Linked DNA regions of Callithrix jacchus. The protein of the gene in region 1 interacts with the protein of each later gene in a biochemical or structural test. Links are inferred from orthologs where the notes say so. Each region holds a gene or a part of one and is shown on either strand. Other genes may lie near its edges.

Region 1 (4,864 bases):
TTAGGATGTTAGGATACACCCAGATTCTGGAAGGTTAGGAGGCAAAGCTTAGGACACATATGAACATTATTTCAAAGCAAAACCATGGCTTCATACTTTGCCTGATTTACACAGCACGCTGGATGTACAAATGCCTCTGAAATTGCTGTCAAACTCAGAAACACCAGCAGGGGACACTAGAACTCCAGAGAAGACTACATTCAAAGACACTACCAACATAGACCAGCAGAGGCTACTGCAGACAATTCTACCTCAAATCCAAACTGCATGAGTTATTAAAGCAGACTACCTTTCCATGTAAAGGGAGGCAATGATCCAGTTTCTTATCAAGCTTCCAGGAATCCATCTGGATCTCTGCCTCTCCAAGGAAAGTGTTTCTGCCAAAACGGCCGTGATGCCAAACTGAGAACTGCAGGGTCCTCCGGGCCAGGAGAGATTCTGGGATCTCATACTGGGAAGGGAAAGTAGAAGCCCAAGATGATTATTAGTTTAGGATAATTCCTCAGACAAGAATATTCCAAAACCTGAGCAACCATTCCTGAAGTCACTAGTCCTGAATACCAAATTCCTTTATATTCCCTAAGCACTTTGAGTTTCCTCACTCAAAGCCTCAACTTACCTCATTTTATAAAAAACCTACCATATTCCATAGGAAGATCTGGAAAATTAGATTTTCCTTGAGTAGGTGAGAGAATACTGAGTCGTCCAAAAACAACTGACAAGGAGATTCCTTATCTCAAATGTCTTTTTAAAATGAGATTTGTGGCCATGTGAATCTCCAACTTCACAACAATCCAGGAAAGGCGGAGCACCTTTGTTCTCTTCACTGGGAAATCAGGATGTGAACAGGTACCCAATGTATCCTCACACACAGACATGGCCCACTGAAACTCATGTCACCTGGCCATGTTGCAGAGGAATAGTTACAGCCTCGGGCACAAGACAAAACAGGTTCTTCTACCCTTGGGGTCTAGATACTTACCCTGAGGGTCTCATCATATAGTGGATTAATGGTATCCCGCTTGATACTAGTTTTTCTTTTTCCTTGGCGGGATTTGTCAGGCAGAAGGTAAGTCTTCACATACCTAGAAACCAAAGAGTATACTGAGTAATTTGCTGGCCTTTCTCAAGCCTGCTCTTCACTTTCCTGCTCTCCATATGAATATGGCATGGTGATATGTGATGTCAAAAATGTCACCTCAAGCCCTCTTAGACATGCCATTCTTGCTTTTTCCCCAATCCTGGTTCCTTTCCTACATCACACCTCCCTGCTCCCAAGGAAAGGGATAAGCTCTGTTCAAGAGTGCCCAGACAGATGCTGGGGTCTGTTCTCCAGTCTCAGAGCATCAGTCAGGTTCCAGAAGCACTCACGGGTTAGAGCGCTTCTTGGCTTCATCAGCATAGGCCAGCTGGTGGCACTCCTTCACATGGACGACGAGACTCTGTGTTTGCTGTTCATACTTCAGGGAAAAGGCAATCCTGCCAGTCACAGAGACGTTCCCGAAGTCACCAGCTTCACTGTAGATGCTCATCATGCTGCCGATTGTACTCTGAAGAAAAAGCACTCACGAACATCTGGGGAAGGCACACTCCACCCCCGCCACATTGTTCATATCTTCCCTCATGATAAAGCCACAGTCACTGAACAGAAGATTCAGAAGCCCCTGCAATGATCCAGTGCTGCCCACACTCCTTGACCCAGAGGGTAAAAGAGAACTACCAGGACTCATAACTGTTCAGGTGAATAAATCAGTTCATGGCTCACCTAGCCTCTTAGCTTCTCTTCTTCTCCTGGTTGTACAAATTTTAGTGTTCATTTTCATCTGCCCCAGGAGGCGGGCAGGGAGCAGAGGCAAGGTGCACGTAAGTCCATTTGGGAACTGTGTTATATACACTAAAACATCGGCTAGAATGGTGTTAGTCACTAACTAAAACAAGGTGGGTTTCTCTTATCCACCTTATGTCTATCAGGACCTATAGAGAAAAGAGATTCAGCCAGAATTGGGAGTGAGTGGGAAGGAGGAAACCCGACCAGAAGTGAAAAGGCACCTTCCTTTCTGGTAGTAATTGGTCTTGTGAGCTGACCTTCTCTTCCTGTGAATGTGAACAAACTCTGTTTACTCTTGTTCTTGACTCTTTCCCTAAATATCAATCTCCATGCTTATAACAGAACCAGGCCCTGATTCATAAATGTTCCCTTAACTTCATTATCCTTACTGGTGTTGTTGATTGTTAGCCATACCCTGATGTTGACTAACCCTGCCAGGGCCCCTCTCATGACACTCACTTTCCTTTAATGTTGGGAATTTAGAGTGCGCTATGATGAAGAAATCTGATCTTGCTCACTTCACAGCCTGGGTACCTCTTTAAAGGATAAGTTGAGGTTATTGCTCACAAAGCTGTGATGAAGAATGTCCCCAGCCTTAATTATCTATATGTAATAATCTCCAGGATGGGGACTCAGGAAGTCACCTAGATGTACACTAAGCATCTATAGTCTAAATTGAGGATAGGAACAAACAAACGCATCTTACTTACCTGAAAAGAGTGACTAGGATGGTTTCCCCAGGTCCCGAGTCTGCTCTAGGGAGGTGCTTCTTTTCTTCCTAGCACCCCAATATGCCTATACCCACAGATCTAATAGAACTTACCATGGAGGAGCCACTTTGCATGCTGCTTCTGGCTAACTTCTGGCGATGTAACTTCACTAAGTAGTCAATGTCTTCTTCTTCTTCTTCTTCTTCTTCTTCCTCTTCCTAGAACAATATAGATTCAGAATTAATAAAAGAAATACCTTTCTTTAGCTTCAAAGACTAACACCTTTCCTTTAGTGGGAGCCATAATTGTCATAAAGCTCCGAGTTGTATGTATATGCACATATTCTTCTTTTTATATGTCTTCCCATTTCAGGCTTCCCAGCTCTATTCCAACCATCCTTCTCATATCTCAAAGAATAAGATAAGAATATTTAATGTTTTTCATAAAAGCTATAACTCTTTTCCATTAGACTTTCCCCAACCCAGCTATCTCTTTATATTTTAACCAAGAGAAGTATTTATTTGATCCCCAGTCATATATCCAGCAATTTATTAGAAAATAAAAGAGATGGCCAGGCATGGTGGCTCATGCCTGTAATTCCAACACTTTGGGAGGCAGAAGAGTGTAGATTACTTGAGCTCAGGAATTCCAGACTAGGCTGGGCAATATAGTGAGACACCCATCTCTCCCAAAAAAAAAAAAAATGAATGAAAGAAATTAGCCAGGTATGATGATTCATGCCTAAAGTCCCAGCTACTCAGGAGGCTGAGGTGAGAGGACAGCTCGAGCCCAGGAGTTCAAGGTGGCACTGAGCTATAATTGTGCCATTACACTCCAGCCTGGGCAACAGAGTGAGACACTGTGAAAGAGAAAGAAAGAAAAGAGATAGCAAAGACAGTCCTTTCCTTTAAGCAAATCAGGAACCAGATTTACTTCAGAAATTTGGGGTATCAAGTTTCATGTTGCCTTTTCCTAAAGAATTAAATAGGTTGATTGAGAATCTCAGGTACTAAAGCCAAATCTAGATAAATAAAATTTCATATAGTGACAGTAAAATACAAGGGCACTTACCATATCTACATTGAGGCCTGGGACAGATTTGCTTCTGTCTCCCAAGGGGCCACTTTCTGGGCGAAGATCTATCACAGACTTGGTGTACTCTGAGGAGAAAACCAAAAAGCCAAATCAGAAGAAACCTATTCTTCTCCTTACCAAGAGCCCATCAAGGGTACTCAGAACTTTAGTCCCAAAAGACCAGTAAGGGAAACCAGTTACCTGACGGCCTGAGGATTTTCCTGGTATTCTTCTTAAATATCATCTCACCCTCATCCACAAATACCACATTTTGACATCCAGGCTGAGTTTCCTAGAAAGGAACAAGGGCACGAAAATGGAAAAGGACAGATGGACAGGTAGAAGGAGTAAGGAAGGATAGCCTTAAGAAGAATGAGGCTCAGATTTTCCCGAAACTATGACAAACTTAAAGGAAAGATTATGTGCCTAGGAATAGTACAAAACCTATTTTCTCACACATTTCAACCAAAACCTTAGAAAATGCTCCCAAGTGACTCTGAACTGAAATTTGTTTAGTTAAATTCCTGATTCAAATTCTGCCTAAGAGAATGGAGGGAGGGAGGGAAGAAAGAGGAAGAGAAGAATGAAGGGGAGGGAGGAAGGGAAAGATGGAGGGAGACAGGGAGGTAAAGGAGGAAGGGAAGGAAGGGAGGGAAGGAAGGTGGCTCAGTAACCTGCAGCTTACCTTTTCTACTTGAGATTTGGGAACAGACATCTTCTTCCATTCTGGAAAGAGGCCAGATTTTTCCAGAGAGTCTCTCCTGGAGATAGATTCACAAGTTATAACTAAGTCACCTCCTCCCCTTCCCCTTGCACCCAGAGATCAAAGCTCTATGGAAGGAAAGCCAGTGCCTTGGGTCATGGTAATAACCAAATTCAGAAGGTATACTTCACATCTGATTTACCTGGAAGGAATGCAGAAGATCAGATAAGCAACTTTGCACAAACACAAACACTCAGATCCCTCATTCTTAAAGGACAGCAGCATCAGTTGCTACAGGGCTAAGAAGAATACTCCAAGGTACTGGGGGAATTGACTGGGGAAGCCAATATGATCCAGGAAGCTGTGCTCAGAGCCAAATCAGTACACGTGCTACGGAAAAGACTTCTGGTGAGGTCAGAGGAAATACTCCATTCAACTTCCTGAGGACAGAAGTCAGGAACACTGATGCTGCAGAACAAAATCGCAACTTGGGTAGTGTGGAGATGAGAGAAATGAGGAAACCTCACCTGGAGGTGCTATCTGAGTCAG
Region 2 (4,864 bases), on another chromosome or scaffold:
AGCGTCAGGCTGCACCACCCTGTGGGCCACAAGGGGAGCCAGTGGGGCTTGTCATCGAGGGCGTGGCGGGGGCCTGTGAGGCAGAAGGGTCACCTCAGCAGCCCAGGGGGCGGGACAAGACTGGTGCCAGAGCCCAGCAGAAGGAAGGGCCGCAGGGATGGAGAGGAGATGGCTGGCCTCTGGGGTGCCACAGAGGCGGGAAGAGTGGCAGCAACAGGCCTGGCTGTGCGGCGGGTGCTGGGCTCTGCACCATTCTCCTGTGCTGCTGGGGCCTTGCCTCCAGAGTCTGCAGCTGATGAAACACCCGTGTCTCCTCTCCCCGCCCAGGGCATCATGCTGGTTTATGACATCACCAACGAGAAGTCCTTTGACAACATCCGGAACTGGATTCGAAACATTGAGGAGGTGAGGCCTGCCGGCTCTTCCCACTGTCCCTGCTTCAGTCCTTGTCCCAGCGCTCTCTGGTTTACCTATGAGAAGGCCAGGGTGCAGAGACACACACAGGTCACTTGCCAATAGCCTCCAAATCAGGGACTCAGTGGGAGCAGGGACTGAGACACAGGCAGCCGGCCCCAGGGACCACACCCTGGCCTGGCCCCGCCCCAGAGCCCTTCGGAGCCCACCCCTCCAGCTGGGCTGTTGGATCTGGCCAGCGTCACAGTCATAAGAGAAGGAACATCCAAGCTTGTGGTCACCATGCGCATTGGCTGCTTTCTAGAGAAGGAAGGTTCTAGCGCAGGTGTGACCCTTGTAGTCGGAGGGTGTGGTAGCTGGCCAGTCAGTTGTACTTTGAGCTGTATCAGAGCTGGGTGTGACCTGCTACAAACTACCTGTGTTCAGACCTTGACCCATAGAAGGGAGAGGAGGAAGCCAATCCCTCCTCCCCCTCCCAAAGCCATCTTTATCTTCCTGCTCCCCAAAAAACTGACCTCACCCCCAAAGCCTTCCTGGCCAGCGGCACCTGCAGCTTTTGACAGCTAACCAGGTGGAGCTTCAGGTCTGAGGCACAGCCAGATAACTTTTCCCATCTATAATGCCAGCGCAAAATGGCACATCACTGTCCACCCAGGACTCATGGACCCCCTCAGGCCAGGCTGAGAGGCCACCCCATCATTTATGAGTCATTGCACTGGGCTCAGCTCCTCAATGATCCTGAGAGGGCTGAGCTGCCGAATTAGCCAGTGCAAGGCTGCACCCTGGCTGGGGAAGCCGTCTTCATCCATGGAGAGGAGCAGAGCCTGGTCTTTGCGAACGGTCTGTTTCTGGCCAGCAGGCAGGAGCACCTTCTTATTCATGGGCAGTGAGGCAGGGAGTGGCACAGTAGGTTCCAGAGACCAGGCCTCAGCTGGTGAAAGAAGACAGCAGTTTCCAGTGTCCCCATTCTTCAGGAAGCACGGTTGACTCCATGAGGACCCAGGAAGGTCTGATGAAGGAGCTGCCTGTGGGTGTGAAGGCAGAGTTTGGGCAGCACCACATGGTATGGTGAAGTGCCTGGGGCTGGTGACAGCCTCGAGTTGCGATCACCTCAGGCATGGCCCGTTTCTGGAGCCCACAGAAAGAGTTGAAATGTCAAGGCCAGGCATGGTGGCTCACGCCTATAATCCCAGCACTTTGGGATGCCAAGGCTGGTGGATCACCTGAGGTCAGAAGTTTGAGACCAGCCTGGCCAAAATGGTGAAACCCAGCCTCTACTAAAAATATAAAACATTAGTCAGGCATGGTGGCTCACCGCTGTCATCTCAGCTATTGACTGAGGATCACTTGAACCCAGAGGCAGAGGTTGCAGTGAGCTGAGATCATGCCACTACACTCCAGCCTGGGAGACAGAACGAGACTCCTTCCTTTAAAAAAAAAAAAAAAAAAAAAAAGAGTAGAGCAGAAGGTCCCAGGACAACAGCTAAAGCCTCCTGCAGAGGAGCCAGGAGGGGAGGGAGGGAGGGAGGGAGGCAAGGGTGGGGGGTAAATGTCTCAGCCTCACTCACCCCTGCAGAGGCCAGACCCCTGCAGCAGCCTGATTGACATATCCGTAGAAGCTGCCAGAAAGCATTTCAGAAAATGTGCATTTGGTCAGAGTAGCAGCTCGAACCCTGGCCCTGGCCCTGGCATTGGCTGTGTGACATGGGACTGGCTGCTCGGCCTCTCTGAGCTTCAGCTTCTCCCTTAGACTAGGCTGTGCCTAGCAGTCCTGACCCCACCACTCTGATTTCTGGGGACAGGCTCTGTGCTGTCAAAGGTACCTGGCCAGTGTCATCCAGTCTGATCCCCTCCCTGTCTCTCCCCCTCTCTCTCAGCACGCCTCTGCAGATGTCGAAAAGATGATACTCGGGAACAAGTGTGATGTGAATGACAAGAGACAAGTTTCCAAGGAACGGGGAGAAAAGGTGGGCATGGTGGCACAAGGGGCAGAGGGCCTGGGGGGTCTCAGGATTCCCATGCAGAGGCCTTCCCCATCCCTCTGCTGCCCCAGGGGCTCCCCTGAGTGCTCTCGGGTAGAAAAGTTGGGTTTTGGTGGTTCCTTTTATAAGTACATGCTATCCTGGCTTGCCTGGGACGAGTTGGTCACCCCATTGTGGCACATGCCAGGGGACAGCAGAGTGGGAAGCACATGCCCAGCTGGGGCTTCTCAGGTGCACTCTGTGGGCGTCTCGTTGAAACCCAGCATGGCCCCACTCCAGGCCTTCAAAGCCACAGGAGCAGGGGACAGAGCCGTGGTTTGATCCCAGCAGGGCCCTGCCACCCTCCCATCTCAGCTGCCCTCCCCGGCGCTCCATGCCCTGCACAGCACTGTGGAGGGGCATTCGGAATGGGCTCCCCATTGGAGAATCGAGGGAGCCACCCAGGAAGCCACAGCCCCAGCCCCAGCCCCGTTGGTGCTCCCACTTGGCACCAGCCCCGACTTCCACTCCTGTTTTGGGCAAGCTCAGATGTGCCCAGCAGCTGGTGTGCTTATATGTGTGCCTCCCTTTCTCACAGCTAGCCCTCGACTATGGAATCAAGTTCATGGAGACCAGCGCGAAGGCCAACATCAACGTGGAAAACGTGAGTCCCAGGCCCTGCTGGGAGACACGGGGCCTGCAGGATCAGCCCCTTCATGCTTAAGAGGGAGCTGGCATCCTCTGGGGAGGTCTGCCAGACAGACCAGCCTCTGGCTCCATGCTGCCAGTCAGTCCTCTGAGGGACACTTGCTGGCCAGTGCTACATGCCAGGCACAGGCGGCCTGTGGGAATCTGCCATCAGCAGGGGCAGGCCCACAAAGGGCACCTAGGACGCGTCTCATAGGCCCCTGGGCAGCCCTGGGGAATAGGCATGGTTTTACAGGTGAAGAAATTGAGGCTTAGAGAGCCCCAACTCTGTTTACACTCTCAGCCATGCCAGTCACACTGGAGAGGCCCCTGTCAAAAGCTCAGACACAGCAGGGAGCCCTGATAGGAGTTGGTCCATGCACCCTCCCCTCTCCACGGGTGACCCCAGCCCTTGCGGCCGACCCCGTGATGTTTCTCCCTCCTGGGTATGTTTCCAAGGTGGGATCTTCCACATTACTCCCACCCGAAGTGTCTGTGCTGCCTGGAAGACCAAGGCCAGAATCCTCGCCTGGCATGGAAAGCCCTCCCTCGCTGGCTACAGCTGGTGTTTGTCACCCAGGACTCAGGCATTGCCCACCCCGCTTTCTTCCTTCTCCAAGACTTTACTGCATTCCCCGCCCGTGTGCCCCCTTTTCCACCTGTCAGGTTCCCTTTGCTAGTCAGGGCCCAGCCTAGGAGGTCCCTCCCCAAGTTTGTCTTCGTCCTCTGCTAGACCTTCCTCCACACCCCAAGCCACTTTCCTCTCCAGAACCTCCCACGTCATAGGTATGTGTGTTGGGATCATGCCTCCCACCATCTCTGTATGTCCCACACTCAAGGCCGTAACAGCAGCTGGAGCCTTGGCTGTGCTGGGGCATGAACCTGTTCCTGCTCCCGGCCCGGCCAGGCAGGAACTCCAGGTGAAGCTTGTTTGGCCACAGAGCTCTTGCCTTTTCCCCTGAGCAGACAGAACCGAGGAGTCAGAGATGAAGAACTGGGCACTCCATCTAAATCCTTCTGGATCAGTCGGTTAACTTGCCTTTGGTCAAGTCACTTGGCCTCTCTGAGTCTCAGTTTCGTCTCTGGCCAACCGAGTATAGCCCCATCTCACAGGGCTTAGGGGAGGCCCCGTCAACACTAAGGTGCTCTGTGGAAGTGAGAGTTGGCATTGGAGAGGAAAGGCCGTTGGGAGGTGGAGGGACTGGGGAAGGACAGGAGCTGGGGCTGGGCAAACCAGCTGAACCCACTGCCATAGGAGGCCCACGTCTGGGAAGCTGTCCCACCACGCTCACTCCACACAGGTGGCTGAGGACTCGGGGTGCTGTCATTGCAAGTACTAAGTGTGCTTATTCCGCAGGCATTTTTCACTCTTGCCAGAGACATCAAAGCAAAAATGGACAAAAAATTGGTGAGTGTGTGTCCTTCCCAGATCCCTGAGTGGATCTCTGTGGAATCCAGCCGTCGTTGTTAGCAGCAGTGACATGACGCACCCTAGATCCCGCTTTTTAGGGCCCAGCCAGACCCTATGGGACGTTGCTAGGAAAGAGGGGAAGAGTTTGCAGGTGTGGCTGGGGCATCAGGCAGTGCCAGCCTGGGGACGCTGCCCAAGCAGACAGGGCTGTTCCCGGTGAGTCCCCAGGCTAGCAGGGTACGCATGGCCCTTTCCATTCCACCTCTGAAAAGGGCCAGAAAGATGACATGGTGTGCAAGGACAGAGAGCCATGTCCTGGAGAAAAGCTTCCTAGGTCGCTCAGGCAGGGCCAGGGCTGGTGTCTGATAACTGTGGGCTCACCATCTTGACA

Evidence for each region. The genes of interacting proteins can lie anywhere in the genome.
Region 2: the proteins of SYTL4 (region 1) and RAB8A form a complex in vitro, tested with the Homo sapiens proteins (2 studies listed by BioGRID). The link is inferred for Callithrix jacchus from reciprocal best matches to the Homo sapiens genes SYTL4 and RAB8A.

Annotation. Positions count from the first base shown.
Region 1 is NC_133524.1:96,994,175-96,999,038, forward strand, and holds part of SYTL4 (synaptotagmin-like protein 4), read right to left. Parts: coding exon 4,843-4,864; intron 4,374-4,842; coding exon 4,298-4,373; intron 3,905-4,297; coding exon 3,814-3,904; intron 3,699-3,813; coding exon 3,610-3,698; intron 2,757-3,609; coding exon 2,652-2,756; intron 1,551-2,651; coding exon 1,372-1,550; intron 1,086-1,371; coding exon 983-1,085; intron 452-982; coding exon 290-451; intron 1-289. UniProt on the Homo sapiens protein: Modulates exocytosis of dense-core granules and secretion of hormones in the pancreas and the pituitary. Interacts with vesicles containing negatively charged phospholipids in a Ca(2+)-independent manner.
Region 2 is NC_133523.1:14,741,043-14,745,906, forward strand, and holds part of RAB8A (ras-related protein Rab-8A), read left to right. Parts: intron 1-327; coding exon 328-405; intron 406-2,291; coding exon 2,292-2,381; intron 2,382-2,973; coding exon 2,974-3,039; intron 3,040-4,419; coding exon 4,420-4,470; intron 4,471-4,864. UniProt on the Homo sapiens protein: The small GTPases Rab are key regulators of intracellular membrane trafficking, from the formation of transport vesicles to their fusion with membranes.